Alligator mississippiensis: one gene and its partners. The protein of the gene in region 4 purifies or fractionates together with the protein of the main gene of each other region. This does not show direct contact. Links are inferred from orthologs where the notes say so. Each region holds a gene or a part of one and is shown on either strand. Other genes may lie near its edges.

Region 1 (7,705 bases), about 46 Mb from region 4:
GTGATCCTCAAGCACCAGCTTCACTGTACTGGATATTTGACTCCTGACTCCCAAAACAAGTACTCTACTCCAAGCTTAGTTGAAGCCTGAAAGCTCAAGGTGGCCAGAGAAAATGCTCTATGGACACATTGAAGGCATACCTCAAGAAAATGTTCACTGACCTAAAGAACTTGGAGGAGCTGGTTGCCAGTTGACTTCAATGGTATCTCCACCTCAACCAACTGGCAGCCTATTTCGAAGTAAAGTTTCTTGCCCTTAAAGCAGAGAAGAAAGAGTGAAGGAAGGAAAAGGAAAGGAATCTCAGCTTAAACCCTACTCTTCTCTGTGGAAAGACCTGCAACTTCAGTGGACAGATGTGTGGCTTGAGGATTGGACTCTTAAATCACCTAAAGACTCATCAGCAAGCCATGGTAAAGGTCATCTTTGAATCAAGGGATTGCCATCACCGATTATGCTAATTTACTTACATACATTTTGCCCCATGGAAGTAAAAGTAATGGAGCTAAATGTGATCTCCCACACCTCTTTTAAATTATTTTGACTTAAATTATAATGAGAGCTCTTAGAACTAGTAAACTTTTTAAAGCAGTGGCCTTTTGCCCAAAAATCATGGGGTCAGGGGGAGGGAGAAAGTATCCCTGCAACTTCTACTAAGATTCCATTTCACACTATGTAAACTGTATTTTGGAGCAACCTACAACGTTAAACATGTCATAATCTTTCCTGAGAGGGGATTTAAGAAAAATAACTTTTATTCTCTATTGTTAAGATTACAGCTTCAGCTAAATAGCAAATTCCATGTATAAGTCAATAAAAAATATCTGTTTGGCAAACTGGAAAAGGTCACATGAATGAGAAGCTAAGAGCGCAGGAAACATTATAGGTAGTACAGGAGGTGCCTGTGTGCTATAACAGAATGTCTGGGTAAAACTGAACTCCATCTGGTAGTATGTGTTCAACTTGTATCTTTGGTAAATTTGTCTAAGGCATGGTAACTATGATGTCCAGATGTGCTTCATACTCATGAAATGACTATCACTGAAAAGCCATTAGAGAGCAATCTAGGGCCATCAGCTTTGTCTCACAACTACTAACCCACCTCTGTGGGGTGCTAGCCTATTTAGCAGACCTTGTTAAGTCCCAAAGCTGTTCTAGGGACCAAGAAAGATTCAAGGAGCCTGTTCCACCAAAATCAAGTACATAAGATAAGTATAAATTAGGGCTGACAAACAATTAAAACAATTAATTGCGAGATTAAAAAAAAAGTCACAATCTCAATTTTAATTGCACAGTTAAACAATAGTTAGCACCCCTCCCACCCAACAGCCCAGAGCCCGTGCTCCCTGTGGCTCCTCCCCGCTACCACCAACAGTGCACAGCCCCAGCTCCGACCCTAGGTTTACCGACGCCTGCTCCAGATTCGCCCCGGCTGGAGCAGACTAACTGAAACCCATATGAACAGATCTGACCCTAGCCCGCCCTGTGCCTGCTCCGAACTCACCTGCCCACTCTGAGCAGCAGCTAAGCAGAAGCTGCTGCTCAGCACAAAGGAAAAGCGGCCCCTCACTGGTGCCAGGCTCTTCTTGCTGCAGCCACCCAGAGTCCTTGCCCAGGCTGACCCGAGACTCCTCTGCACTGCTACCCACAGGCAGAGGGAGAAAAAAAATTTGGGGGGGCTGAGCACTCATGTGCACACTCCCCACCCCCAACAGGAAAGTCTGTGGGGAAAGGGCCATGGAGGGCAGGGAATGGGGTTGCGACCAGGCAGGGATTGGAGCAGAGCCGGGCCTGAGATTGGGGCCAGGGCCTGCTGTATCCATCCCTACCCTTGTGCCCAGGGTCATTGCCCGGTGCTGGTGGCCCCTGCAAATTTGCCACCCCTCAGCCCCGCACCAGCCCTGGCTGCCTCCCTGCACTGGCCCTGGCTCTGCACTGCCTGGGGGGACCTGGAATAGGGCCTGCTTTGGCTGCACCGCTGGGCCAGAGGAGACAGAGCCCATGGGATCCCTGCACCTGCCTCACATCATCCCCAGGAAGAGCCTGGCAGCTCTTATAAAGGCATGGCGCTGGGCAGTCAAGGGGTAGGGGGGCATGTGGCCCCTTGATCTTTGCATGGGGCACAGGCAGGCTGCAGCTGTATTCTGCCTGTCCCTTGCTGCCTCTGAAAGCGGTGCGGTGCCATGTGCCTTACTGTCCGGCCCACCCAGCAGCAGGACTCACCTCCAGGCTTTTACAAAGATCAATAATTAGTACTTTTAAGGAGTAAAATGATTGTTGTTAAGAAATTGTCAATCTAGCATTATAGCTTTCCTGCTATGCTGCTCATGAAGTGATGAAATTAGAAAGCAGAGTAACCACAACTAGGTGGAACTCTGCGGTAGTGTGTGAGGGTGAGGCGGCTTGAGGTTTTGGGATTTAAGATGTTTGGACTGCAGTCCCACACCAAAGAAAATATCTAGAACTCCAGTAGCAGAAACATCAGCTGGATTATATGCAGGTCTGGTGGTCTTAAAAGTCTTTGGGACCTGGCAGCTGGGTCTGTTTTCACAACAGGGGACTGTCCAGAGGAGAACAGGCCCAAATTCTAAGCGACTGAACTGAGGAACTTATCCTTAAAAAAACCAAACAAACCCCCAAGAAACCTATTTAACCAAAGATGAGGTAATAGTGCTTATGCAAAAGGAGGCAAAAAATGTCACATGTAATTGTAGCATTTCTTAGGTTCTGACTGCTTGATTCTGATGTACCCTAACCCTGAGGTTCATGTAGTGCATTAATGCATTATAGTTAATAGTTTTAACACTTCCCCAATTGTCCATTTTGCTGTAACGTGATCTTTCACCTCACACTGAGTTGCCTGTAAAAACTTAAGAATGAAAAGCCATATTTTTGGTGATAGCTTTTACTGGCCCAGTGGTGACTGTTGACAGTGTGGAAGGGGCACAATTTAAGGGTTCACGTGGTGTGCAGTGGGGTTCAGGGCAGGCACTCAAGAGACAAAGGAGTTTTGATTTCTATTCTAGAGCTACTTTTTAGGGTTATTGTGAAATATTAACACCGACGCGGCAAAAAGAGCCGGAGAATGCCGCTTCCGGAGCCATTACCACAATAGGATGGAAGCTCTGAGAGTGGAAAAGAGGGAGGAGATGGGAGTTTCAAAAGAAAAAGAGAGAGAAAGAGGATCCCCAGGGGATAAGAGACTTACCTCAAGACTTCTCACGATGCTGGAGAGAGCAGAGCTCCGAGGAAGAGGGGCGGATCCCCGAGGAGACAAACTACAACCCGCGGGACAGGTCTGGCTACTGCCCTGGAAAGTAAACAAAGAAAAGTGGAGAGTGACTTGACCTACTCTGTCAAGCTTGGAGATGGCATCTGATCGTCTGTCATGAGGATTCAAGACTTCAGGCACACACAAGATAAAAGGTACACACTTATAGCAACAAAATAAAGAGAAAGTATATGGTGGGGTTTGAAGATAAAAGCCCGTCCAAAAAAGATAAACAGACGAACAAGAGAGAAAGAGACTTTGTTTTCTAATACTAAGTTCAGTCCAACCAAATTGACAGCAGTTACATAAGAACATTATATAGATAGAATTACAAAGTTGTTATGATTGATAAGGCTAAAGAAAAAAAGGAAAAGGATATAAATGGACAACTTCTGCCTAAAAGTAAAGAAAGTTTGTATAGAGTGATAAAAGATAAAAATAAAGACAAGCGTTAATCTGAATCAGACTGTGAATATATATATATCGGTGACTGCGTGTGAATAGTTGAGAAGGTGAGCAAGGTATTCCTCTATAATACCGGGACCCCTAATAAAGGCACAACCCCCCCCAAACCAACAAACAAAAAAACCTGAACTATATATAATAACTCTCCTGGCTAGTGACATCAGAAATTAGAACATACAACATCCAAGACATGACAGGCGGGAAAGTCGGGGTACCTATAGTTTTTTGGGAGACTATAAGAGGGTATAAAGAGGAATCCTAAGTGCCACCATCACGGTTATGTTTCGTGATACTTTGTAATAGCAGATGGAGACTGCTAAAAGTTCCTAGTGAAGAAAACTGGCAGGGGGTCTGTGGCTTTCCAGAGCTTGGCCCTTGCCCCCATGGTGCAGCGCTGGTCCAGACTCGCCAGAGCTTGGCTCCTGATGGCCTCGACCAGCTCTGTGCCAAACTCCGGTGTGCCCAGAGTACCCCTGTACCAAGTCCTGCTCCCCACAGATACACCTGTGCCAGAGCTAGTCCCACCGCTCTGCTTTGCTGTCCTGCCGCCTCGTGTATGTGCGGCGCCTCCTGCCCCGCATTTCCACGTTTTACCTTCCCGCTCCCTTCCTCTAAATGAAACTGATGAGCAGTAGAGAAGGGCCGGGCGAGTGCCCCCGCGCGGAGCCAGGGGGTCGGGGTCTGGAGGAGCGCGTCTGCCCGCCCCGCTCTGCCAGTCGACGGCGGCCCCGGGCACGCGGCGGGGCTGGGACTGGTTGCCAGGCCGGTGAATGTGTGGAAGCGCCACGGTGTAAAGCAGGACCCTTCCCCCCGCCGGGTCGCTACCCCACCCACAGCCCCGGGCTCTGAGGCATCCGCGCTCCCGCGCTCCCAGCCGCGCGGCGCCAAAACGGCCATTGGCTGAGCGCCCTCGGGGGCGGGGCCTTCCCTCGAGCCGCACCAGCCCCACGCTAGTGCGCCTGCGCCGCTACTAGCGGGAGTGGTCTTGGCGGCAGCAGCGGGAAGCCAGACCTTGCGATACTGCCGCTGCCCCCGGCGCGACTGGGTTTCTCAGCTTCCGCCAGCGCTATGGAGCCGTCGCGGGACGAGCGGCCGGGGAGCGGTGCCCGCGAAGAGCCGGTGCCGCCGGAGAGGTGCCGCCGGGGGGCGGGGGCGGTTGGAATCGGGAGCGGGAAGCGGCGCCTTAGTACGACCCGGCTCTGCTGTTTGTATAGAGCTGGTCTTCGGCGGGGCTTTCCTGGCACTTGTAATAGCTGATTCAGTCCCTAGAAGCCCCCACTAACGCACCCGATCTGTACAGAACTTGGGTGAGTCGGGTCCGACTAACGCGCTGCCTCTTCTGAGCATGCGCTGGGCTCGCCGTGGGAGCGCGCGAGTTTAAAGTAAAGCCTTTTTTTTTTCCCCAAACTAAGCCACTGTAGATGTATGAGCCACATTGCCTTAAAAAACCCCCCAAAAAACCAAATTTTCTGAAAGAGACCTACCTTGGGGTGAATTTTGGCACGTGTAACTGAACAAGGCTTTTTTTTTTTTTTGCCAGGGAGGTAGTTACAGGAGGAATGGCATTGGAAGGCTACCTTAGTCTTATCTAAACAATGACTATGGCCTTTCTAAACAGTGGTTCTATTAACATCACTTTCATTTCAGTTTTCAGAAGAAAACAGTTGACTTCACTGATACAGTACTCGTTAAATGTTTGAACAACAGATACCGTGTGTTAAGAGTGAATGTAGTACAGAAAAAGGGAGAAGATCCTGAAATGCATCTGACAATTGCAGCATCTCAATCACCTGAGGATACAGAACTATGTATTCTGAGGAATGACTGGTAATTGATATGTAGATATAAACATTTTTTGTAATGAGAATATTTTGGTTTATTAAGTAAATTCTTTATATGCTCATTTTCATTATCTTAAAAGTGCAAACTGAACGCAATTAATCTAATATGGCATTACTGCCATGCTGGTCTTGTTTGTTAATATCTAATTGAGAGCAGTTAGTATCTAGAATAAACTGTATTGTTACCTTACATTTTTCACATAGTTTAGTCGTGGTAAAATAATACGAATAAATAGTTAAAATAGTGAAACTTGAATCATGTGGCTCTGTGTTCACTATGCTGACTTGAGCAGTTAGCATTATTTTGGGAACACAGATTTACAGAAGTTTAGGGCTGGAAGGGACCTCGTGAGATCATCGGGTGAAGCCCCCCCTGCTCTGGGCTGGAAAGACTGCTGGGGTCAAAATAACGCTAGTAAAGTGTGCATCCCGTCTCGTTTGGAAGATCTCCAGGGTAGGTGCCTGCACCACCCCTGCTGGGAGTCTGTTCCAGTCTGGTCACATGAACCGTGAAGAAGTTTTTCCTTATATTCAGTCTGAAACCTTCTAGGAGTTTACTATCATTGCTCCTGGTTTTCCCCTGGGGTGCTGTGGTGAATAGTTGTTCACTTAGCCCCTGATGCTCTCCCATGATATATTTATAAGCTTCCATCAAATCCTTCTGGAATCTTCTCTTTTCTAGGTTTAACAGTCCCGTATCTGTTGGGCTTTCTTCATATGGCTTACTCTTTAGGCCTCTAGCTTAATTGATAAATATACAAAGAAATGGGTATTATAGGTTGACATTGTTGCCTACCCTGGTATACGATTTTTGGCCGGAGCATTGAAAAACACCACAATACCTACCTTGGAAGATGCCGGAGTGCCGGCCTGCCAGAGAAACAAAATGAGGGCAGGGGGTACATGGCAGGATGCCCTGCTTATGCCCCCTACCCCCCAGCCCTGCTTGTGCTCCCAGCCCCCCAGCCTGGGCTCTGTGGCTATCAGCAGCTACCCTGGCTCTAGGTAGCTGCTGGAGCCCAGGGTGATCCCAGCAGGACTTGCAGTCTTCCAGCTGCCTGCTGGCAGCAGCTGCCCAGAGCTTGGGCTGGCTGCAGCTGGGAGGCTCCAAGCAGCTACGCTGGGCTCCAGAGCCCCAGGCATCAATTCCATACCGGCGTGTGCACCCACACATTGGAGCAGGCGGTGGGGGAGGGACCTGAAGCAGTGCAACTCTCGTCTCTTCCCCCGCTCCCAGCACAGAATTGGCGTCTGGGCTCTGGAGCCCAGTGCAGCTGTTTGCAGCCTGCTTGCTGCAGCTGCCCAAAGCCCAGGCTGGCTACAAACAGCTGTGCTGGGCTCCAGAGCCCAGTCACCAGCTCTGTGCCAGGAGCGGGGGGGAAGAGACTGGGGTTGCGCTGCCTCAGGCCCCCTCCCCCATCTGCTCTGAGGTGCTTAAGCTGGCACAACTGTTTGGAGCCTGCCGGCCCCAACTCTGGGCAGCTGCTGCCAGGCAGGAGCCCAGGCTGCTCCCAGCAGGCAGCTGGGACACTGCATGCCCTGCTGGGAGCAGCCTGGGCTCTGTTGCTGGCAGCAGCTACCCAGAGCCAGGGCTGGCCTTGGCGTACTGAGCAAAATGGCCTCGCGTGCCATGCTTGGCACATGTGTGGGAGGTTGCTGACCCTTGCTGTATACCTTGACTTCCAAAAGGCCTTTGATCTAGTATCCCACAATGTCCTCACGAGAAAATTGGAAGATTGTGGGCTTAACTCTGAGACAGTCAGGTGGGTGAGAAACTGGCTGCAGGATAGAACCCAGAGAGTCATAGTGAATGGATCTGTGTCATCCTGGCGAGAAGTGGGCAGTGGGGTTCCGAGGGGTTGGTGCTCGGTCCAGTCCTTTCAACTTCTTTAACGATTTGGATGTGGGGGTGAACAGCTCACTGGCCAAGTTCATGGATGACATCAAGTTATAGGGGAGAGTGGTCATGCTTGAAGATCGACTACAGAAACAGGCGGACCTAGACAGGCTAGCAAGTTGTGTGGATTGGAATCTGATGAAGTCCAATGTCAAGAAATGTAAAGTGCTCCACCTTGGTATGAGCAACTCCCAACGTACCTACAGGCTTGGCGGCACCAAACTAACTAGTACC
Region 2 (7,997 bases), on a different chromosome or scaffold from region 4:
GGGTACCAGCTGGTCTCCATGGAGACCCCACCTGCCCGCTCCCTCTGGCACCCCTGGGGGTGGGTGCAGGATGGACAGGCCAGGGTGCCCAGGCAGCAGGGCCAGGTCTGGCAGCAGCACCAACTGGAAGGAACCACAGTAGCGGAGGCTGCCAGGAAGCAGAGTCCAGCCGCTGAGCTGCCCATGCCCTGCTGTGCGCTCAAGGGCAACAGGACTGACTACACATGCCACAGCCTGGGCTGCCCCCCTGTGCCTGAGCTGGGTGGGTCCAAAGGACCTGCTGCAGGCAGGATAAAATCCCTTGGCAGGCTGGATCTAGCCTGTGAGCTGCATCTTGCCCAACCCTGATGTAGGGGCTTTGATCCTGGTGCTGCAACCAGGAGTAGATTTGTCTGAAGCAGATAGATGCTGCCTGCACAAGAGGTAACAGTATGCTGGGTTTTTTTATGACTTGCCTCTCCTATGTAAACCTGGTCACTCTTCTGCTTCTGCTCTAAAACATTTCTGTAGTTTGATTTACCACATGAAATCTTAACTTTCCATAAGTACTGAGCATTAATGAGGTTAGGAGACGACATGCCTTTTCTACTGTGTTTCTTTTCCTTTATGTATTTTCTGATGTAATAGACACACTTCCTCAACACTTGTGGGAGCTATATCTTGAGTTGGGATGGGAGCAGTAGGAGAATAATGGATTGATGACAGAGGGAGAGTAACCAGGAATCAGCTTGGGAATAGAAGTACAGAGGCACTGAATCTGATTCATTGGAAAGTAACACTTGAAATCCTTGGCATGTAAATTGTTAAGCACATGAGATGGAATGGGATTAGATGTTGAACAAGCAGAGAGAAGCTGTTAGCTCTGTACCAAATAGTGACATATGGCTTTTACTCAGAAAAGTAGTTCAAAATTCCCTAAACAGTTGTACAATAATGCAATACATAATAGTTATGGACACAGTTTTCCTCAGCAGCGTTTCCAGGCTGGCTGCTTCTAGAAATCTCCTACTCAGCAATGCAGTAGGTTGGTCTGCATGCATGGGGGTCTGGCATAAGATACAAGGCCAAACGATTCTTGGCTGCCCTGATAAAATCCTCATCTTGCTTAGACTTCATAGCACTTGTGGGGGTCAAGTGACTTTTCAGTGGGTTTTTGGGGAAGTTACTGGTTTTCATGTTGGCCACGGCCATGTTGTTTTGGGTACTTTGTGGGAAATGAGCCAAAATGTGGTCCAACTCTTCAAAGTATGGACAGGTAGTAGGAGCATTAATGCAACACCTGTTCTGCTCTCATGTCTTTAGCTGCCTCTCCTGGAACTTTTTTGGATTGACTCAACCCTGGAAACTGCTCTAGGACGAGCCCCTGTCTTCAATTGCCCTGACAGTGTTTAAACAATGGTGACTTCTCCAAATGAGACTGAACATGCTGTTTCCTAAGAAGGGCAACCAAGTCCAGCACTTTCATAGCAACAGATGAGGGCATGGCTTCTTTACTGAGCATATGAATTCACTGTTATCTTTTTTTGTTGTAAAAGGACACTCATACCAATATCCATCTGATCAAGATGACCCTGTAGCAGCTGAGTGCATTCAGGGACAAGCTGGTTCCAGTGTGAAGCTGTCAGTGTAGGACTGTAGTTGGAGGAAGTAGTTGGAGGTAGTTGGAGTTGTAGCAAGAAGTGAGAGGGTCAGGAATGGGTTTCCATGAGCAGGCTGACTGGGAAGGAGAGTTACTTCTGTTCCAAAGTTAACTTGCTGTGCCCAAAGACACCAAGTAATTTTGGTTTATTAAAAATAAGTTGTATGTGGAAGCAAGGCACTTAAGACAAACCATGCTAACGACAGCCATTCCAATGGGAGCAGGTGATCATGGCTGTACCCCAGTTCCTTGCAGTGATGACAGCCTTGTCTGGAGCAGGGGCAGAACCGCAATCCCCTGCTTGCACGCCCCTGCTCGGAGTGTGCAGACTACAGATCATGGCTCTCCCTGGCTCCAGAGCAAGCTGCCCCATTGCAAGATCCCAGTAGCTCCGGAGTGGCTGAGGCTGGTTTCCAGGGCAAAGCCAGTCTTGAACTTTCCCAGGCAGCTGAGGCTGGGGTCTCCATGGAGACCGGCCTCAGCCACGTGGCAGGGGCTGCTGGGAAATGGAGTCTGGCTGCTGGCTGGATTGGCCTTTTTGCCCACCCCTGGCCTAGATGATGAAGTCTTTTCCGGTTTTAAAACTCTATAAAAAGAATGAGGAGGAGGAGAAATTGCGAAGAAACAGGAAAGGATCTGCTCATGGCTGCACGATAAAGAATGGAACAGTTGGAATTGATTAGCGCTGCCTCTGACTAGTGTCCTAGGAAGATGGATCTCAAACATCTAAAGCAGACTAGACTAGCCAGGTCAGTGCAGGGACTGATGTCCTCAGATGTCTCTATAATCCACTGGCTAGATTCAACTCTTGACTAAAAATGCTATGAAGGTAATACGTTACCTATCACTTTATGTGTATTATGGACAAGGTCCCTGATACACCCTGTGTGTTTACAAGGCTAAGCACAGACTCAACACAAATAGGAACCTGCTTTAAAGCAATAGCAACAATGTTTCTGGGCTGACCTCGGGCATATAACAAAGGTGCTACATGAAAGCATTTAGCAATCTGCCCTAGGTTGATTTGTATTTGAAGAGTTCACTGTTTATTCTTTCAAAGGCTTGTTTTTTCTCCCCCTATTTTCTTTTTCACCTCTCTCACAATGCTTCACTCTTGCTGGTATTCTTTCTAGCTTGTGAATGTCCTCAGAAAAGTATGGTACACAACTTTGGTGTTTGAAATGGGAGTAATTCTAGTCAAGAGGTTTGCAGCAGGAAGTGGGAGGGTCAGGGATGGCTTTACATGAGCAGACTGACTGGGAAGGAGAGTTACTTCTGTTACTGTTTCAAACAAAAGGTCAACAGGCTGCCAAACTTTAGCTGCTGTTAGACTTAGAATTCTAATATGGAGTAGATTCATGACATCTACTGACTTTTCAACCAGTTCAAGAGAAAGTATAATCTGTTGCCTATAGGAAAAAAATCCTTTAAACAAAGTAGCGTGACATTCCAGGTGCATTTATATAAAAAAGTTATATACTCCATGAGCCCTGGAGAAGATACAAGATCAAAAAGGGGTCAATCATCTGCCCTTACCCTAGCAGTCCATAGTGGTTATACACCAGTGGCACAACAGAATGATGTGGCTAGCACCTTATCCAGCTGCTTTTGGCTCCTCAGCCTGCATAAATTACCTAGATTTACTGCTGGGTCAACTGGAGTGGACAGTACAAGTCCAGCACAAGTCCATGCTCACACTCAGACTTCTGGAACTGTAGTAAGATACCCCAAACTCCAAATTTGGAGTTGAAGGAGATGCAGGGCACACAAAAATAAACCTGCCAAATTGTGCACGTTGAGATGTTTCAGCTATAACAGTAGTTTGTTTTCTGATGATATCCTGCTCCATATTAAAAAAAAAAACCCAACATTTTATTGATGTTTTTCCTCTGACCTGGGTCTGCTAAGAACCCACCTAAAGTTGGTGCTATTTATATAAGTGGGACTGTTGCCATTACTTTAGCAGGAGCTGGATTAGGCACACACTTTTATAATCTTGGATGCATAATCTTGCGTTAAATTCATTTTGCAACCTTATTTTCAAAGCAAGTGCAATTTATCTTCAGGCCCTGCCACACGTTCAGCTGAAAGCTGGATAGAAACCAGTGATTGAGTTGTTACACATTTTCAAGCACAAACTTTTTATCTAGTTGGCACTTCTAATAGCTGGATGGACGTTTTTATGTTGTGGTAGTTACTTTGCACAGCTACATCTATTGCATGATTCACAAGTGAAGTTCATGAGTATGGCCAGCCCTCATTGATTGTGTGATTCACCAGGAAATTGTGTGATAACTTTAGATGTGGTTCATTTACAGTGCTCACTTTGCACATCTGGCCAGTCTACATTTATCGTGCGAGTCACTAGTGAACCGCATGATAATACCTTTGCATGCGTGACCTGTTGACATTTATTGCACCATTCACTAGTGAATTGGATGCTAACAACTTTGCACATGTGACCCATCTCACTTTGCACAGGTGGCTGGTCGCAACATCAGCATTTGGGGTCAGAGGGGCTGTGGGTTGGGATTGAGGTGCCATGCTGAGGAAATGGGGCCATGCCAAGAAAAGTTTGGGAGGCACTGGATTATGCATTTCCTCAGTGAATCGCACGATATATGTAATGTCTGGCAAGGACCTTCAAAGTCTCATTTTTCTGAAGGGCGGCATCCTGGCTTTGCAAAGCAGGCTACTTTTTCAAGAGGCCAGGAGCTCTTTTACTGGACTAGCTGCATGGCTGGGAGAGGGGTGGGCAAGCTTGCCCATACACCAGGACCCTCGCTCCGGTCTCTGCTCAGGGCAGGGTGTTGCACTGCCCCAACGCTTTGCCCAGCATTGCCAGGTCTTAAATATGAAATGACTGTATTGCAAGCTCAAAATTATTGTGTGCGCCAAAAAACTACCGTACACTGGAAAAAATATGAAAATAAATATGCAAGTAAATCTTCATATTTACTTTCTATTGCTCACTGTAGGTCCTCATGGAGCGAGACCCAAAAGTCAGTTAAGACTGTCCGAGAGTGACTTGCGCTTTGCAAATGCTGCATCAGTTCGCTCCTTCAAAAAGTCTCCTGCATTTTCACCACTTTTACTTTTCGTACATCGTACGAAGGACGAAATTATCGTACAAATACGACCGGACACACTGCCCCCGCCTTTCCTCCTCCCAGTGGGACGGACCCAGGGGAGGAGCCGCGCACGTTCCGGGACTGGAGCCCGGGCTGGTCCCGCCCCCCGAGCTCTCATGCCCCAGCCGCAGCCTCCCATTGGCCGCCGGGCAAGGTGATGCCCCGCCCTGCGGGCTCGGTGCAACCACCGTTTTCCCCCAACCAACCGCGGCGCGCACTAGTTTGTCCTCTCCGGCGCGCCGTCGCCGCGCTGTCACGTGAGTAGGGGGTGGAGCGGCCATGATGGCGGAGCCCTTCCAAGCCTGAGAGGCGCGAGTGCGGCAGGTGAGTAGTAACGTCTGCCCCTTCCGTTCCTTCACCCCCAGTCTCTGCTGTGGCCGGGCTGCGCCTAGACCCCGAGTGCCCCCGCCCCACGGTTTCAAGCCCCAAGGACGCTGGGAGCTTCCCTCCCCCATGTCCTATTCTTGGGACGGCCCAGAGCGACTGTTGGGGCCCGCGTGAGCGGTTCCATTTCCCGGGGGGCGGGTGGAACGCACGTGGATAGTTCCATTCCCGGGGAGGGGGGTGTGGAACGTACGTGCGGCCCCAGCCGCCCTGACTTGGACTGGTCCGTTTTGGAACTCTTTCTGCCAGGGCCCTGCTGGGGGCTGGAGCTGAGGCTGGGGCCACTGGGTGGAAATGGTGCCTGCGCATCCTGTTTGCCCTTGCTCCCCAGTGCCTTTGGAGCCTAGCTTCCTCATGGGCGAGCACCCTCCCTGCCACCTCCCCACAGGAGTGGGGGGTTGAGGCAGGGCGCTGGGTTCTTCGGCCAGAGATAGGGTGGATTTGCATGTTATGTTCTCTGGCACTGTTGTTACTGTGCTATCCTTCAGCACTTCCTTTTGGCAGTGCTAAATGACAGCCCCTGCTGCACAGTCCAAGCATCTTATTTTTAGCTGCTACGTCGCCATAGTAATGGCACTACTCTAAAGGAGCATGTTGCTGTGGCGGAGTAGCTGCGGCATCACGGTTTTTGCCAGCTGATGCTATGTCACTGTCGCGTCTCATGTAGATGTGTCCAGGGAATCTCAACTGGGGGTCTTGAGAGGGTGCCGCAGGAAGGAGAGGGGAGGCAATTCACAGGCAAGGGAAGGCTCAGGCTACAAGTCGGAGATCAGCAGAAAGGGGCTGGCTCAGGCTCCCTGTGCTGCCCAACTTCTCTGTGAGGAGGTAAGCACTGAAAAGGAACCAATTTCTTTTGGCTAAGATCAAGCACGACAAGGGGCATCTGAACCCCCATATCTGCAGCTTGCACCTAGGATATGGGGAGCATCCCTGGATATGGGGAGCATCTGAAGTCCCAGACTGATGGGTCTGGGAGGGAAGAGACTTGGTCTGTGGTAGAGCCACCCAGACTTGACAGTTGAGTTCTGCTCAGTCAAATTTGGGAACTTGACTATTGGGCTTTGTCCAATTGAATTTGGAACAGATTTTTGCCCTTGGCTAAAAAGAAAAATAAAATCTATTAGCTTTTGAAAGGGGGTGCTGCTCAAGTTGCCCGAGTTCTGGAGGGTGCCTGGAGTTGAAGGAGGGCTGGCTTAGGCCTAAAAAGTTTGAGAAGCACTGTTATAGACTAACTAAATCAGTGATGCTCAAGCTCACCTAAACAATGTCTTACTTCATTAGATGTGTCCGATCTAATGAAGTAAGCTGCTGCTTACGAAAGTGTAGGCATCTCTGATTTAGGTTTGTGCTTGCATTGTCAGTGGAAAGCTGGTAGTAGAAACACGAACACCTTCCCCTCCCCTAGCTTTTAACAACTCTGTCATCACACCTCTTCCATCCTACCTTTCTCTTTTCAGTCTGAATATTTATCCCTGGCTACTGTAGTCACTTCACTACTGGAATCAATGCATGATCATCATGTGTCAAATTAAAAGATCACATTTGCAGCCAAAGCTCTTGTAGCTGTTAAGCCACCGGTTTTAAGAATTTATGATCAGTGTAAAAACACAGCATGCTGCCTGTGACCAGTGCATGAATAGGCTTATGCTAATCTTACCTTTAAGTGCTTTTTTTTTTCTTTTCAGATTCATTAATCAGGAGGACTTAAAAGAACATTTATTGGAAAGGTATTTTTGGATATGGTAATTTAGAATGTGTGTTAGTAGACGCTTTAGAAAATAAGGGGTGCCTAATTAAAAAAAGTTTTATTCAGTAGTTTGGTTCACTCTTCATGTAGGCCAGAGGTATCAAACTCATCTGGCCTCTGGGGCTGGTTCTAGACTGTGGGGCTTGTGGGCTAGACCTAGACACAGGTGGCAGTGGGGTCAGCGGTGGCTATAGCAGTTAATACAGCTGTTGTTTGCCCCTACCACTGAGAGATCCTCAGTGGGGCCCTGTACCATTGATTTGAGCAGTGGGCCTTGCACTTGGTCCCTCCAGATGAGGCCTGCAGGGCACACATTTGACACCCCTGACCTAAGGTGTACTTCAAAGAAGAATAGTAATATTACGAGCCATTTATTTTTTAGGGCTGTATTCTATCCCTTTAGTGCTCAAGTTTTTCAGTGTTGTTTTCATACAAATTGCAGTCATTTGACTCTAGCAATTAGAAATGTTTGATTTTTTTTTTTCATCTAACACTAGACAGATGCAAATTGTGTGTTGAATATTTATGTATATATTCTTAAATCAGTTAAAACCTGACTTGTATTTATTTAGCTTAAGTCGGTAAGCAATTATTCCAACTAACAGTGCAACAGAGAATTGAATTGAATGTCTACCAGTGTCTTCAAATCTGTTTAAGTTTATTTAAATCGCATATTTTTTCTAATCTTTTTTGCGTCTGAGTGAAGACTGGGCCTGTGTGATATTTTGTTGTATGCTAGAGAAGAAACTTCAAAGCTGAGAAAAATGCATTCAGTACCAAGAAGTTCATACTTTGTCAATTAAGTTTACTATTTCCAGTTGTTCTTGATTATATTCTCTGATAAGCAGTATATTTAGACTTTTTAACTTAACCTTTTTATCAGCTAATTGCTCTCTATGTTGAAACGTTCTTGTCTTTTTTTTGTATGAACGTGTAATTTAAAATTTTAAAAAGGTAGAGAAAATGTTGATAAGAAAAGCCTCAAGCCTAAAACCAAACTTAACTCAGAAAAGGTATAGGGGTCAACAGAACGTGCACCACCTTATGGAATGAGATTCTTGAGACCATTTCTTGCAAAAGGAAAGAAATGAGATGT
Region 3 (7,363 bases), on a different chromosome or scaffold from region 4:
AAGGTACTCCAGAGAGTAGGAGGGGACTGACCAGAAGCCCCTAAGGCCACTCTGCTGCTGGGGTGGCCCGCTCGGGGCTGGGCAGAGCAGCCTAGAGGGGCTAGTGACCCACAGCTACCTGATGGTGGGGACGGCGAAGGGGTCGAACTGGTCCAGCCGCTGAACATCGATAGGGACTGAAATGCGACCTGCCGGGGGCAAAGTCCACATCATGTCCAGGCTCACCAGGGTCCACTCCCTGCCCTGGGGGTCCCTTCCCCTGGGCTGTACCTGTCTTGGGGTGGACACTGAAGGGGCTCTTGAGCAGGTGGTTGAGGCCCTTGCTGACGTTGCCGTCCAGGCGTGGGAAACAGAACTGCAGCATGATTTCCTTCTCTGCGTAGGATGGCAGCTTCTTCGAGCTGCTTGAGGACTGCTGTGGGGGCGGGGAAACAAGGACAGTTGAATTCCCCCTGCACCCAGCAGTGGCCTGCCCCCCTCAACAGCCTCCCAGTGCCCCCTGCCCCCCAGCTTCTCACCCTGGACTTCTCGACGAGGGCTTTTAGCCGGGCCCAGCGCTGCACCGAGTCACGCTTCCGGGGAAAATCCTGCTGCAGCTGCTCGCGCAGGGGTGGGCACCAGCTAAGGACTGACAACATTGCATGGACCCCCCACCCCCTCAACCATGCGTGGAAGCACGGAGGTCTGCACCGAAGCACTAGATGGACACAGATGTAGAGCCTGTAATGCAGCATGTGTCAACACGTGAGCATGTGCACACAAGCACGGGCACAAGCTCTCCCCTGCATGCTTCTCTGGCCCTAAACATGCAAGCCCCCACCGCTGCCAGCCCCTTCCCCAGGCAAAGTGAAAGGCAGCTGGAGCTGGGCAGAAGGATATGCTCTGGGACGAGGGCCAGCACCTTGTCCCAGCTCTCACGGCTGCCCAGGATGTCCTGCCCCAGCAGTGCATACTCCTCAAAGCGCTCCTCCACCAGGCGCAGCGACTTGCTGGGGAGAAGCAGACGGGATGGTGGGGTTGGCTCCCTGGAGGCCATGCCTGCGGCCCTCCGCTCCCAGGACGCTGGGACCCTCCCCTGGCCAAGTCTGTGCCTACTTTGGGACTGCGGGGACATTTCCAGCTGTGGGGGGTACCAATAGGGGTCCCTTGGGGGCACCCCCACCCTGGTTGAGGGGAGGCCATAAGGGAGCTACTGCCCTCCAGAGAGGAACGGGTCTCTTTGGATCCCTGCTGCCTTGTTCCCAACAAGCTTGTCTACTACGCCTGGTCCCCGGGGGTGGAGCGGCACCCAGGTCAGGCAGGAGGGAGCTGCCAGCACAGGGCAGAGTGGTCCTGGCACTGGGGTGAATCAGGCCCACGACTAGGGCCTGTCAAGGGGCTTCATGGGGGGGCACTAACCTGATGAAGGGGTGCACAGGGTCAGAGAGATTCACCTTCTTGACAGTGTCAGCCCCACCCTGGGCGGGGAGCAAGAGGAGATGGTCAGGATGGAGCAAATCTGCCCCAGGCCCGGGTGCCAGGCGACAGCTCCCAGCACCTGGCCTGCCTGGAGCAGCTGCAATGGGGGACTGGGGTCAGATGCAGCCCCCAGGAGACCCCCTGCCGCACCTTGACCAGGCTGAGGTAGTCGACGATGGAGGAGCGCAGCGAGGAGGACCACTTGCGCACAGTGTCGTCGCACACCCAGCAGTGCACGCCGCGCCGGCCCGAGTACACCCAGAGGCGGTGCTGCACCCCCAGGTCCTCTGTGGGGCACAAGGTGTGGGGTCAGGCAGGGCCTGCTGGGGGGGAGGAGCACCCCCCAGTCTGACCATTGCCCCTCACTCCCGGACTCCCAACCTGCAGCCCTTGCCCCCCTCCCGGACAGCCCTTCTGGTGCCCCTAACTCCAGACCCGCAGCCCCCAGTCCTGCAGTAAGCAAGGCTGGGCCCAGGACAGCGGTGCTGAGAGCCCCAACTGGGCAACTGGGTTCCTGCAGCCGCCACAACTACCCTGATACAACCAGGAACCACGGTGCTGCACCCCCCGGACCCTGACGGATGGGTACTTGCCCACAAGTGCTCGGTCGAGGACGCGGATGGCGATGGTCATGAGGGTCCAGCACTTGGAGCAGATCTCGGCCGAGCTGCAGGGAGGGAGGCCATGGGGATGGCACTGGCTTTGGACACACCAGTGCTGACCCACCCCCACGGCCTCCAGGCCCCGGCGAGTACCTGCAGCACCCGCGGACGTCATCGTAGTCGGTCATGTCGATGTCGAACACCAGCTCCTTCTCCTGGGCCTGGAAGGCCCCCGAGCGCAGTGCGTTGTGCTGACTCGGCTGGGCCGGGAGCGACAGGTCAGCGCCGGGGGCCGCCGCTCCGCACCCCGCACGTCCCCCACGGAGCCGTCTGGCTTCTGGGGGCAGATGTAGCCCCCGCCCGGCTGCCTTGGAGCTGAACGCCTGCCCCGTGACCCCTGCTGCAACCCAGGCCTCCGACTCCGGGTTCTCCGCCGGGCGCCGACACGGGGAGAGACCGCGACGCCCGGGCTCTGCCAGCGCAGACGGGGCCAGGGCAGCGCGCCATGCCAGCTCAGGCAGCCCCGTGCCCCAACTCACCCGGTGCGAGTACACCGCCCCGATGTCCACCTTGTAGGGGCAGGTTTTCTGCAGCTCCTTCTCCAGGTCCTGCGGGTGCTCGAAGCTCTGGTACCGCACGTAGATGTCGTCGCGCAGCGTGAACGAGAACTCGCGGCGGGCGAAGTAGTTCTTCTCCACTGCGGGGGGAGCCGCCGGCTCGGTGCCCGGGTCCCCGGCCCCGCTCTCCCGCCCCGGCCCGGCCCGCAGCCCCGCACTCACCGCCTCCGTAGCCGAGCCAGCGGCCGTAGGGCCCGTGCGGGAAGAGGCGGCGATAGTAGAGCGGCAGCAGCTCGGGCAGGGCGCTCGGCTCGAACCCCGCCATGGCCCCGGCGGCGGCGCGCGCGAAACCGGCCCCGGCCCGGGCGGCTGGGAGCTGTAGTCCGGGCCCGGCCCCACGTGCAGCGCCGAGCCCCGCCCCGCCCCGCCCCGCCCCCGCGCAGCGCCGGGCACCGCCCTGATCCCGGCCCCACGTGCAGCGCCGAGCACCGCTCCGCCCCCGCGCAGCGCCGGGCACCGCCCTGATCCCGGCCCCACGTGCAGCGTGGGGCAGGGCCGCGGGACCGACCCCAGGAGCTGCTGCCCTCCAGCCCCCATGAATCCCTGGCCCCGAGGCCGCGGGTAGAGCCGGCCCTAGGCAGGACCTGCTGACCTCCAGGGCGATTAATGATCACCCAGGGCAGTGCCGTGACCCCGCCACCAGCCAAGCAGCCCTCAGGACAGTGTCCCCGCCACCAGATGAGTGGCTTTGTGGAAAAGCGTTGGAGCCGGAGCCAAGTGGCACAGGGGGCAGGTGGGGGAGCATGGGGGGTTTGCATCCAGGCCGTACCTGGGGTGGTCTCGCACAGGCATCAACCACCCCTGCCCTGGGCAGCTCCAGGCTGGAGGCAGCTAGGGCAGGTAAGTGGGGGGGGGGTGGGGAGGCCCCAGTTCTGTCTGGTTTCCCCCAGACATCCCAGCGTCAGGGGTGACCCCAAAGGGAAAAGCAGGAGTGATCTTGAGCCCAAAGCTGGCGTGACCAGAACTAGGATCATCCAGGGGATGGGCACGGGAAGGGGCAGGGATCCCCGGGGCAAGCCGAGATACAGATTACCAGCGGTGAGCTGCCCTGTGTTACTGCCAAGGGGCACACTTGTACCCTGGGGTAAAGGTGGGTGCCAGGTCCCCATGCCCCATGCCTGCTCCAGAGCTTGCAGCTGGTCTCTTGGCCATGAGCGAGGCTGGGGAAGGAAGGGAATAACAATATTTTCCTCCATAGTGGGTAAAAGTCCAGTGCTGAATTGCAACTGCCTGACTGGGCCAGCTCCTCCCAGGCTGACAGGCACCCAGCTATTGATGACTTGCGAGGAGCTGCTGGAAACCTCCCCAGAGGTGGTCGCATTTGGACACAGCTCTGACCTCAGGTGGCTGTTCCCCCACGCCTGTGAAGATGTGGCTGTACCTGGTGGCCCTGCTGGCGCTGTACCTCCTGTGCCGATGGTACCGGGAGCGGCAGACGGTCGGGAACCTCCCGGACAAACATGTCTTCATCACGGGCTGCGACTCCGGCTTCGGGCACCTGCTGGCCAAGCAGCTGGACGGGCGGGGGCTGCGGGTGCTGGCGGCGTGTCTGACGGAGCAGGGGGCCGAGCGGCTGCGGCAGGCGACGTCGGGGAGGCTGCAGACGGTGATCCTGGATGTCACTCGCTCCGACAGCATTGCCGCGGCCACTGCCTGGGTGAAGGGGCAGGTGGGGGACCGAGGTGAGGCTGCTGTATCCCTGGCACGATGCATCCCGAGTCCGGGGTGGGTGACACTGGGGTGCAGGGAGAAAATCCTCTGTGTTTCCTCCTGCCTTTTCCGGGGCAGCTCTGAGCTCCAACAGGAGGGGCTCTGTGGGGGCAACGGGGAAAGGAGCTGCCGGCAGAAGGGAGCGAGGACTCCTGGGTGCTGTGTCCCACTTTGGAGGGGAGCGATGGGGGGTCTGGACTCTGGCGTGGAGCCACATCATAGGGCGAAAGCGCTACATTGAGGGCAGAGGAGGGTCTCAGAGGGTCTGTTCAGCAGTAAGCCCAGGGCCAGGATGTTGGCGGCACTGGGATTCGTGCCCGAGTGGGGGAGTCTCCCGTCCCATCTCTGCCCAGGCTCACTCCCTGCCCTCACCCCGCAGGGCTCTGGGGCCTGGTGAACAATGCCGGGGTGGTGCTGCCAGTGGCCCCCAACGAGTGGCTGAGCAAGGCTGACTTCGTCAGGGTGCTGGACGTGAACCTGGTGGGGCTGATCGAGGTGACGCTGAGCCTGCTGCCCCTGGTGCGCAGAGCCCGGGGCCGCGTTGTCAACGTGGCCAGCATCCTGGGCAGACTGGCCTTCTGTGGTGGTGGCTACTGCCCTTCCAAGTACGGTGTGGAGGCCTTCTCCGACTCACTCAGGTAATGCGGGGCCACGGGCTGCCCCTCGGGCCACGGCGTGGGACGGGAGGCATTTGTGGGGCTGTGGCGAGGCGTGACGGCTGCCTCTGTCCCAGGCACGAGCTCTGGTCCTTCGGGGTGAAGGTGGCAATGGTGGAGCCGGGCTACTTCCACACGCCCATGACACACATTGAGAACAACCTGGGCTGCCTGAAGCAGGCATGGCAGTGTGCCTCGCCGGAGGTCCGGGAGAGCTACGGGCAGCAGTACTTCGAGACCCGTGAGCACTGTTCTGTCCTCTTCGGGGCGAGGGGAGTCAGCGGGGAGGGGGTGCTTCCAGAGGCAATAGAGGGGCCAGCACATTGTCTGTGGTCTGCTCCCTGCTGTCTCCACCGCCCTGCAGCCAGGGCCTCTTCTCCTGAAGCAGCGAGCACCCCTTAAAGGAACCATGTGTGCATGGCAGGATCCAAACAGCCCCCTTTGCCGGCTACATACAACACGCCAGATCATGCTACGTCATGCCTCCCCGAGGCTGCATGGGCCGGTTCGCAGTGAGCACTGCTGGAGGGCTCACCCTCATTTAGCAGGATGCAGCTCTTCCCAGGAGCCCTGCGGCAGTGACCTGGGGGAAGCCATAGCAGAACACGGCTGGGTGTGAGTGTTGCGTGCTGAGTGCCCCTGCAGCGTGTCTGTGTACATGTGGGTGGGAGAGAAGTGACTGCATGTTGCCAGCCTGCTCAGACCCTGGCCACAGGCTGTCTGCAGACTCGGGCACGTGCCTGCCCATGCCCAAGGCTCTGCCCCGGGCTGACCCCCCACCCTGGCTCTGCTCAGTCTACAGGCTGTCCCAGGAGAAGCTGCAGAAGGGGTGCAGCTCCAACCTACCCCTGGTCACCGACTGCGTGGAGCACGCGCTGACCGCCCAGCACCCCCGCACCCGCTACTCCGGCGGCTGGGACGCCCAGTTCTTCTTCATCCCCCTCTCCTACATGCCCACGGCTGTGGCCGACCTGGTGCTGACCTGGTCTTGCCCAAACCAGCCCAGGCTGCATAATAGGAGGTAGGGGGAGTCTGAGAGGTGGGTGGCATCGGAGCTGTGTCCCCCACTTAGCAGAGCTAAGCCCCTCACTCCCTACAGCCAGGGACCGGGTTCCTCGGCTTAATGCTTCTGACCAAACCCTGCAGACACTTGTGGGGAGGGGGTAACAAGTGATTAACAAGCAGTTAGTGTGCAAAGAAAACCCGGAGGAGTTCCCAGGGGCACTGCAGGACGCTTGCTAGCCATGCTGAGACAGGCAGAGCAGCTGAGTATGGGGGACTTACTGCACTGGGGTAGGTGGGACTCTGTCGCTCCGGGGCTGGGCAGGGCCCTGGTGCTCGGGCTCAGGTAGCAGCTCTGGTTCCCCTGGGCTTGTTCTGCAACAGGGAGAAAGGGAGAGCTCAGGGCAGCTCCTGAAACGGGGACCCGCACGGTGGCTTCTAGGAGCTGCCTGGGGAATAAACACAGCCAAGCAGTGGGGAGCTTGTGCAATGCTGGGGACCCCAGTGATGTCCAAGGTCATGCAGAACCAGCCCAGCCCGTTCGTGGCCCAAAAGGCCCCAGCTCCAGGGGACCGATTCTCCCCGCAGCCTCTGCAACAAAGCTGCAGCAGTGGTGTGAGTGGGCACGTTGGACAGGGGCTGTGTCTTCCCCCGAGGGGCTGCGGCATGGGACGTATGAGCTCTGCGCCAGGCTGCAGCCTGGTCTGCCCCCCGCTGCCCTGCATCTGTACCAAGCTACGCTGTGTTTCCTGGGGCTCCCTCTGCCACCTGCCTGCTGGCGCCCACCTGCTCTCGCTCCTAGACTGTAAGCTCAGTGGGGCAGGGCATATCTCCCGGTCCCGTTTGCCTGGCGCCACAGCATCCCGCTCACAGCAGCGCCCACAATAAAGGAACTGCCCCACTGAATCCAGTCTGCCTGCCAGGCCAAGAGGGCAAGGACTCCTTCCCCCGAGGAAGCCTGATTTTCCGTGTTCCCTGAAGAGCAGCAAACGCCAGGGTCACATCTCACGGTCTGGTAATACAGAGGCTAACGCAGGTCATGCGTGAGCTCCTAACTGATGTGTGTGGGGAATGGTAGGGATACGGGGTTGTTACTGTCTGCAGCACAAGCCCCACTTGGATCTCTCCTTGATACCAGGCTAGGCCGTATTGCCCTTGCTGGCTGGGACACTGTTCTCCCTCCCATAGAAAGCCCCATGCACAAGGCTGCAACCTCATTAATAAGTGGCCACTGGAGCTGGGAGTGATGAAGGAGTCCGGGGCAGTTAATTATTGCCCTGTTGTTAGGGAGGGTGCCCCGACCCCAGCACAGAGGAGA
Region 4 (7,335 bases):
CAGGCCCAGTGCGCGGCCGTGCAGTCCAGCTGCCCACAGATGCTCACGTCAGGGCCAGGCCAGCCCCTGCCTGGCCACGTCCCACAACCCCCCCCACCTGCCCCACAACTCCCCCTGCCCCACCCACACCCAGGACCCCATGCCCCTCACACTGCAGAAAGGGTGACCAGCCCTTGCAGGAGCAGCCCCCTGATTGGCTGCTTTTCCACTAGGGGCAGGGCAGAGGGGACGGGCAGCCAATCAGACTGCAGTAGGGCTCCTCCGCCACCTCTGGGGGCTCTGGGCTGATCCCCAAATGCTTCCTCCAGGTGCCCTCCCCAGACCCGTGGCAGGGACAGGGGGCTGCCCCCATCTCACCCGGTCCTGGAAGTCCACGGTGGCGCCGTGCTCCAGCAGCTTCTCCAGGATCTCGATGTGCCCCTCCAGCGAGGCCCGGTGCAGCGCTGTGCGGTGGAACTGCCCCGGGGCAGCACCGCCATCACTGGACAGCCCCTCCACCTTCCCCACCCCGAGGGCTGCGTCCCCCGCCTGCACCAGGCGCCTGCAGACCCCTGCCCAGCACCCAGGGGCACAAGCAGCCCTGCCAGGCACAGAGCAGCTGTGCCGGGTCCGTAAGGGCCAGACGGACCGCAGCATTGCCAGCCCAGCCGGTGCATCGTCCCTCCGCCCAGCTCCCCGGCGCTGCCCGTGGGGGGCCCAGGATGGGCTGGGGGCACCACCTCATCGCAGGTGTCCGGGGAGCCGCCGTCAGCCAGGAACTTCTCGACGAGGCGGAGCTGGCCCCGCACGGCCGCCCGCAGGAACGTCTCCGGCACCACCGCGGCATCCTGCCGGGCAGGGGGACATGGGACTCCTACACCCCAGGACCCCGCCCGGAGGGTGCTGTCCTGACCCCCAGGCCCCACTGGGCTCTGGCTCAACCCCAGCCCCTTACAAGGTCCTCGGGCTCCGGCTCGGGCGCCGGCTCAGGCGTGGCGGCCCGCTCCTCCCGCCGGCGCCGGCGCTGCTTGCGCAGCTCGATGAGGTGCTGGATGCCGCCCACGTCGATGATCTCGCGCCGCAGGTCCACCGAGCTCCTCCGCACCCGCTCCTGGCCCTGCACCAGGGAGGGAGTGAGGTGTCTGCCTGGATCCCTGCCTCGTGGTGCTTGGCCATCAGCGGGCTTCTCCCCCCTACTCTTGACCCTGCCCCGGGCTCCCCCTGACCACGGCGGCCACAGCTCCTAGAGAGCCGCCTGCCGGGACGAGGGGCCGGCCCAGCTGCGCCCCCCCACACCCCTCACCTTGAGGACGGCGATGCCGAGGGGAAGGGCCCCCCGGTGCTTCTCATCCTCCAGCTCCTGCACCTCCATCCGCACCAGCGCTGGCGGCTGCCCAGAGCTGCTCTGAAACCCAGCACAGACACCCTCAGCCCCCAGGCTGGGTGCCATTGCCCGGGTAAGGCGCTAGATCCGCAGGGAAGGGCCATCGGGGCTAGCGCCAGGGCTCAGCCCGGCTCCGGCGTCCCCGGACTCGCCTGCTTCGCCGCCTCCTCCTGCGCCAGCCTCTGGTCGATGAGCTCCGTCGCCCATTTCAGGTCCTGCTCCACAGTCGCCGCCATGGCTCCGGCCCTGGGCACCGCCTGCCCTGGCGCTGGGAGCTGCGGCGGGTCCTCGCTGCTGTGCCCGCAGCTGCTCGGCTGCTCCAGGCTTTATGCGGCGCCCAAGGGACAGGTGTGCCCGCCCCGTGACTGTGACCGGGGGCTTTTGTCATGAGCTCACCGGCCACATTCTCCCCGGTCACCTTCCCGCAGCGCTGGGCATCGCCCTTAAAGGGCCCCAGGCACAGCAGGGGGACCGAGGGGGGCTCCGGCCTGTGGTGTGGGCAGGAGCCAGAGCCACCGCACCGGGGCAGCAGAGCGCTGGAGCTGGTCACCCCCTGCCCTGCGGCAGCCCTGGGCCCATCCCAAGCCAGTACCCCAGGGCAGCTCTCGATGCCCCTGGAGCTGGGGTCCTGCTCCATGCCGCACATGCTGCTCCCTCCGCGCTGCTGTGGCAGATGACGTCAGGCACTGGCACTTCCGCCAGCCCCCAGGGACACGCTGGCCAGACCCCAGCCTGCCTGGAATAACTCGGGCAGGAGCTATTCCTGTCTCTGCGCACCGCGCGCAGCCCCGCTGGGACCAGAGGAGGGGGCAAGGGAGATGCCACAGTCATCACCGCCCGAGGACCACGAGGCAGGCACGCTCCAGCCTAGAGCCTGAGGGTGACCTTTGACCCTTCCCTTCTGAGGTCACGGGAGGTCGCTGCCTCGGTGTGCAGTGGGGGTCCCTCCCCCAGGTCCTGCACTGGGAAGGCGACAAGCTGTGCGCTGCAACAAGCCGGGGTGGGGGGCACCAGGCAGGGAGCGTGGAGCAGGACCCCCCACCAGCAGCCCCCGCACAGGCGTGTGCCGGCACACACAGGCGCACGCTCGCTGCAGCCCTGGGGCTGAGGACAGGGCGCTTGGAAGAGCAGAGCCAACAGGAGCCAGGAGCTAACCAGCAACGGGGAGGAGCCGGGCACAGGACCCCCGGGGGTAACGTGGCCTCGGTGCCACTGCCCCCGTCACCATCCAGCATCCCCGCAGACCGCCGAGCTGGGAAGGATTTATTGATAAATACAGAGTACGGACACGGCGGCCCCGGCCCCGCGGGCGCCCTGCACCGCGGCTCCCGCTGCGTCTCCGCTCCAGCACGAGCAGCACAGTCCAAGGGGGCTCAGGCGGGGGGACCCCGCCAGCCCCCGCGGGCACCGCCCCAGGCAGCGCCTGTCACAGGAGCGGCCCAGCGGGTGCAGGCCACTCCTCCAGGGGCGCGGGGGGGCCGAGCCCCGGTGCCCGTCCACGCCGGGGCCAGCCCGAGCGCCGCGGCCTGGGGGCCGTGCCCACCGCCGGGTCAGTTCCTGGGGGGCGGCGGCTGGCTCACGATGACCTGGACCACAAAGTCCTTCTGCAGCCGCGTGTCCTGCAGGCGCGTGCGGTCCGTCAGCAGCTTCCCCGAGAAGAACCAGCGCTGCCAGGCGGGCTCGATGCCCTCGCGGGCCTGCAGCTGCCGCTTGAGCTGCCCCACCGTGTCGGCCATGCTGGCGCCCAGCCGCACGTCCCGGCCCGTCGACAGCCGCACCTTCAGCGGGAACTCGCGCCGCGCGCCCGGCGCCGGCTCCGCCGCCTCGGGGCCCTCGTCCTCGCCGCGCTCCTGGATGAGGTTCACGGGCGGCGCCAGGCAGTACACGGGCAGCTGGTACCGGTTCCCCAGCTCGTCGTAGCACTCGGTCAGGGAGCCTGCGCCGGGCACAGCCGGTGAGGGCCGGCGCGCTGCCCACCCGCGGCCCCTCGCTGCCGACCCCCGGCCGCCACCACCCCAGCCCGTCTCTCCCACCCCCGGGGACCGGGCCCCCGGCGCGGCGCGGCGCCTACCGTGAGGCAGGGTGATGCTGGCGCCGTCCAGGATGGCCTGGGCCAGGCCGTGGTCGCTGGCCTCCACGGCGCCGGCGGCCGCCTTGAGCGCGTCCCAGATCTCGGCGCGGCCCTCGAAGGCGGGCGCCGTGTCCCAGAACTCGTCGCGCTTGCTGCGCAGCTGCCCGGCCGTCATGGGGTAGTCGCTCTTCCACTTGGGACGCTCCTTGCGCAGCGGCTCGTTGCGGCCTGCGGGCAGCGGCACGGTCAGCCGGCGAGGGGCTCTGCCACCCGCTGCGGCCGCGGCCCCGGGCATGTCGCCGGCGGGCGGGCGGGCGGGCGGGGGCGGCAGCACGTCCTGTTGCTCCGGCTGCCCCAGCCCGGCCCGGCAATTACTCGGGCGCGCCCGGCCCGTGACGGGAACCAGGCGTGAGTCACGGCCGCAACACCCCCCCCCCCCCGCCACCCCCCACGGCCCGGCCCGGCCCGGCCCGGCCCGCGCGAGCCTGCCCCCCCCGCAGCCCGGCCCGGCCCGGCCCAGCCCCCCGTGTGCCCCCGTCGCGGCGCGGTGCCCGTGCCCGTGCCCGTATCCCCGGGGCGGGGCGGTCCGGGGGGGTTACGTAACCGGCTGCCCCGCTCACCTGCCCGCTTGCGCGCGTGTCGCGGGCCCGGGGCTCGGCGCGGCCTCCCCACGCAGCCGCCCATGTCCCGCCCGGCCCGGCCCGGCCCGCCAGCCCGCGGGACCCGGCTCGTCCCGGCGCCGCCAGACCCGGCGGAGGGAAGCGGGCTGGGCCCGGCCCGGCCCGGCCCCGCCCCCCACGTGCCGCGGCCCCGCCCCCGCGGCCCGCCCCTCGGCGCAGGCCCCGCCCCGCGCCCGCGCGCTGCCGGGCCCGGGTCACGTGCTGGGGGCGGCGCGCATGCGCGGGGCGAGGCGGGGCGGGGCCATGGCGGCGCTGCGGGCGCTCGTGCATGACTTCGTGTCCGGGCTGCAGGACGGGCCCGCGCCCGAGGTGGCGGCAGGTGCGGGGCGGCGGGGCTTGCACGCGCGGCGGGCGGGCGGGCGGGCGTATGTGTGTGCGCGCGTGTGTCACCTCTGACCCTTCCCGTCCCGCAGGGCTGCGCGCCGGGAGCTGGACGGCGCTGGACGTGGTGGAGGCGCTCGGGTAGGAGTCCCGTCCCCGTCTCCGTCCTCGTCCCCTTCCCCCGCGCCGCGCCGCGCCGCGCCGCGCTCACCGCCTCTCCCCCAGGTCGTCGCTGGAGCACCCGGAGCCGCGCACACGCGCCCGCGGGCTGCAGCTGCTGGGCCAGGTCCTGCTGCGCTGCCACGGCGCCCTGCGCCACGCGGAAGGTGCGGGGCCGGGGCCGGGGCCGGGGGCGGCGGTTCTTGGCAGCGGGGCTGGGACCGGGCTCGGGTGGTGGCGGCGTCTGGGGCAGGTGTGACGCGCGGCGCTCGCTCCCCGCAGTGACGCACCTGGTGCTGTTCTTCGAGGCGCGCCTGAAGGACCATCACCTGGTGATCCCCGCCGTGCTGCACGGCTTGCACGCGCTGGTGAGTTCACGCCCCCGTGCCCCGGCCACGCGCGCGGCACCTCCGTGCCCCGGCCCCAGCCCACCCAGGGGCGCGGGGCAGGAAGGGCTCTCAGCCGCGCATGCTCTGTCCGTAGAGCCTGAGCGAGGCGCTGGCCCCGGGCCTGGCCGTGTCGGTGCTCAAGGCCATCTTCCAGGAGGTGCACGTGCAGGTGAGCAGCCCCCACGTCCCCTTCAGCCGCTGGGATGTAGCGCATCCAGAGCGACACGTGTTGTGCTCTGCACGTGCTCCCAGGCGTGCGCTGCGTGTGCGGGGACGGGCTGTTGCCGTGGGCCGCGGGGTGCTGCCCTGCACAGACGCGGTCGGGGTGGCGCTGACACCTCTCTGCCCCGCAGTCGCTGCTGCAGCTGGATCGGCACACGGTCTACACCATCATCACCAACTTCATGCGGACGCGGGAGGAAGGTGCGGGCCCAGGCCCCGTGGGGGGGGGGGGGGGTGCTGGGGTGCCAGGCCCTGAGCGAGCCCCGTGTCTGCTCCCGTCCCTGCAGAGCTGAAGAGCCTCGGCACCGACTTCACCTTCGGCTTCATCCAGGTGATGGACGGCGAGAAGGACCCGCGCAACTTGCTGGTTGCCTTCCAGATCGTCCGCGACCTCGTCCTCAAGGGCTACGCGCTCGGTGAGAGCCCCTGTCCCGCCAGGCGCTGCCCACCCCCCCGGGCTGCCCGGCGCCGGGTCCACAACGCTGCTCCGGGGCCTGGGCCCAGGCGGCTGTGGCTGGCGCTCAGCTTGCGGCTCCGCTGTCTCTCGCAGGCCCCTTTGTGGAGGAGCTGTTTGAGGTGACGTCCTGCTACTTCCCCATCGACTTCACCCCGGTGAGCGAGTCCGTCCGGAGCCGCAGCCCCAAACCAGACCTGCCCTTCCGCAAGAGGGAGCCGGGGCTGGGAGCTGTCCAGAGGGTCTCGGCACCCGAGGCGGGGGCAGGTCTCGCATGTCCCAGCCTCGCCCCTGGCACCTGTGCTGGACCAGGCACCGCACCAGGAGCCTCTGCTGAGCCCTGGGCTCCTTGCGCTTCTGTTGCAGCCCCCCAACGACCCCCACGGCATCCAGCGGGAAGATCTGATCGTCAGCCTCCGCGCCGTGCTGGCCTCCACGCCCCAGTTCGCTGAGGTGAGATGCGTCAATGGGGGTGTGGAGCTGCGCAGGGCAGGAGGGCTGCAGCGTGCGGTGGGGGGCTGGGACACTCGGCTCCGGGCACCAGCTGCGCTCCAGCGCTCAGGCACCCTCGTGCCGTCTGCTCAGCTCCTTCGCTGCTGCTCAGTGGTGGGAGGAGGGTCTGTTGGGCCAGGCTGGCACTGGGCACCAGGCTGAGGAGCAGCGTCTGGGAGCACCAGGCAGCAGCCACCTGAGGCCCCAGCTGGAGCCAGGACCCTGAGACTGAGCCCATCCCCGCAGTTCCTTTTGCCGCTTCTCATCGAGAAAATGGACTCGGAGCTGCAGAGCGCCAAGCTGGACGCCGTGCAAACCCTGGTGAGCATTGCTTCCACCCAGCCCGCCAGGGGCCCCAGAGCCCCAGCAGGGGCTGCACCCTCACTCCGCGCCCGCTGTGCCCTGCAGAGTGCCTGCTGTGCCATCTACGGGCCCAAGGAGCTGCAAGAGTTCCTGCCCAGCCTTTGGGCTTCCCTGCGTCGGGAGGTGAGTGAGGCCGGTAGGGTCCCTGCCAGAGGTGGGGGGCAGCCCACGTCAGGTGGGTCAGGAGGCTACAGTGGGGGCTCGGGCTGTGGCCCCTGTCCTGGGGCGTGGGGTACACGGTCTGTGTAGGCCTGGGCCCTGCAGCTGCCCCCACCCCTATCCCCAGGTGTTCCAGACAGCGAGCGAGAAGCTGGAGGCAGAGTGCCTGGGTACACTGACAGCACTGGCCGCCTGCCTGTCCCACGCCGTGCTCCACGCCGACACCCACGACCCGCTGGACACCTTTCTCAGTGGTGTGCTGCAAGGTAACTGTCCCGGCTGCATGGCAGATGCTGGTGCCAGCTTGGGGAAGGGGCTGACCCGGTGTGATGCCTTACACAGGGTGGGCCGTGGCCGGGCTGAGCTGTCCCTGGCTCTGTGGCCGTGAGCTGGCAGGCACGTGTACCTGTGTGCGCGTTCACCCTATGGCTGAGGTGCCATGTGTGTGTCCCCAGACTGCCGGCACCACCTGTGCGAGCCTGACATGAAGCTGGTGTGGCCAAGTGCCAAGCTGTTGCAAGCCGCAGCCAGCGCCTCACTCCGGGCCTATCACCACATCGCTGGCAGCGTCCTGCCCCTGCTGCTGGAGCAGTACAACCAGCACCCCCAGGTGAGCGCCGCCCGGCAGCATCGGTTCCTCTGGGGTCACACGGCCCCACGGG

What was found.
Region 1: the proteins of MMS19 (region 4) and DNA2 purify together in Homo sapiens (affinity purification with mass spectrometry; 3 studies listed by BioGRID and IntAct, counting the BioPlex papers as one, with this or other methods). This does not show direct contact. The link is inferred for Alligator mississippiensis from reciprocal best matches to the Homo sapiens genes MMS19 and DNA2.
Region 2: the proteins of MMS19 (region 4) and CDKAL1 purify together in Homo sapiens (affinity purification with mass spectrometry; 4 studies listed by BioGRID and IntAct, counting the BioPlex papers as one, with this or other methods). This does not show direct contact. The link is inferred for Alligator mississippiensis from reciprocal best matches to the Homo sapiens genes MMS19 and CDKAL1.
Region 3: the proteins of MMS19 (region 4) and PRIM1 purify together in Homo sapiens (affinity purification with western blotting; 3 studies listed by BioGRID and IntAct, with this or other methods). This does not show direct contact. The link is inferred for Alligator mississippiensis from reciprocal best matches to the Homo sapiens genes MMS19 and PRIM1.

The regions. Positions count from the first base shown.
Region 1 is NC_081829.1:54,948,528-54,956,232, reverse strand, and holds the start of DNA2 (DNA replication ATP-dependent helicase/nuclease DNA2), read left to right. Parts: upstream 1-4,696; 5' UTR 4,697-4,801; coding exon 4,802-4,866; intron 4,867-5,380; coding exon 5,381-5,560; intron 5,561-7,705. UniProt on the Homo sapiens protein: Key enzyme involved in DNA replication and DNA repair in nucleus and mitochondrion.
Region 2 is NC_081826.1:117,420,731-117,428,727, reverse strand, and holds the start of CDKAL1 (threonylcarbamoyladenosine tRNA methylthiotransferase), read left to right. Parts: upstream 1-4,988; 5' UTR 4,989-5,094; intron 5,095-6,839; 5' UTR 6,840-6,881; intron 6,882-7,997. UniProt on the Homo sapiens protein: Catalyzes the methylthiolation of N6-threonylcarbamoyladenosine (t(6)A), leading to the formation of 2-methylthio-N6-threonylcarbamoyladenosine (ms(2)t(6)A) at position 37 in tRNAs that read codons beginning with adenine.
Region 3 is NC_081838.1:6,989,141-6,996,503, forward strand, and holds the start of PRIM1 (DNA primase small subunit), read right to left. Parts: upstream 3,002-7,363; 5' UTR 2,943-3,001; coding exon 2,840-2,942; intron 2,758-2,839; coding exon 2,600-2,757; intron 2,321-2,599; coding exon 2,214-2,320; intron 2,126-2,213; coding exon 2,052-2,125; intron 1,746-2,051; coding exon 1,609-1,745; intron 1,458-1,608; coding exon 1,399-1,457; intron 990-1,398; coding exon 880-989; intron 611-879; coding exon 519-610; intron 416-518; coding exon 271-415; intron 189-270; coding exon 119-188; intron 1-118. UniProt on the Homo sapiens protein: Catalytic subunit of the DNA primase complex and component of the DNA polymerase alpha complex (also known as the alpha DNA polymerase-primase complex - primosome/replisome) which play an essential role in the initiation of DNA synthesis.
Region 4 is NC_081829.1:100,703,687-100,711,021, reverse strand, and holds the start of MMS19 (MMS19 nucleotide excision repair protein homolog), read left to right. Parts: upstream 1-4,326; 5' UTR 4,327-4,330; coding exon 4,331-4,433; intron 4,434-4,527; coding exon 4,528-4,576; intron 4,577-4,660; coding exon 4,661-4,761; intron 4,762-4,876; coding exon 4,877-4,962; intron 4,963-5,077; coding exon 5,078-5,152; intron 5,153-5,336; coding exon 5,337-5,406; intron 5,407-5,492; coding exon 5,493-5,621; intron 5,622-5,755; coding exon 5,756-5,817; intron 5,818-6,025; coding exon 6,026-6,112; intron 6,113-6,397; coding exon 6,398-6,472; intron 6,473-6,559; coding exon 6,560-6,637; intron 6,638-6,800; coding exon 6,801-6,939; intron 6,940-7,128; coding exon 7,129-7,283; intron 7,284-7,335. Other genes in the region: ANKRD2 (ankyrin repeat domain-containing protein 2), read right to left, coding at 1-29, 358-456, 720-827, 935-1,096, 1,283-1,429; UBTD1 (ubiquitin domain-containing protein 1), read right to left, coding at 2,914-3,299, 3,435-3,662, 4,055-4,118. UniProt on the Homo sapiens protein: Key component of the cytosolic iron-sulfur protein assembly (CIA) complex, a multiprotein complex that mediates the incorporation of iron-sulfur cluster into apoproteins specifically involved in DNA metabolism and genomic integrity.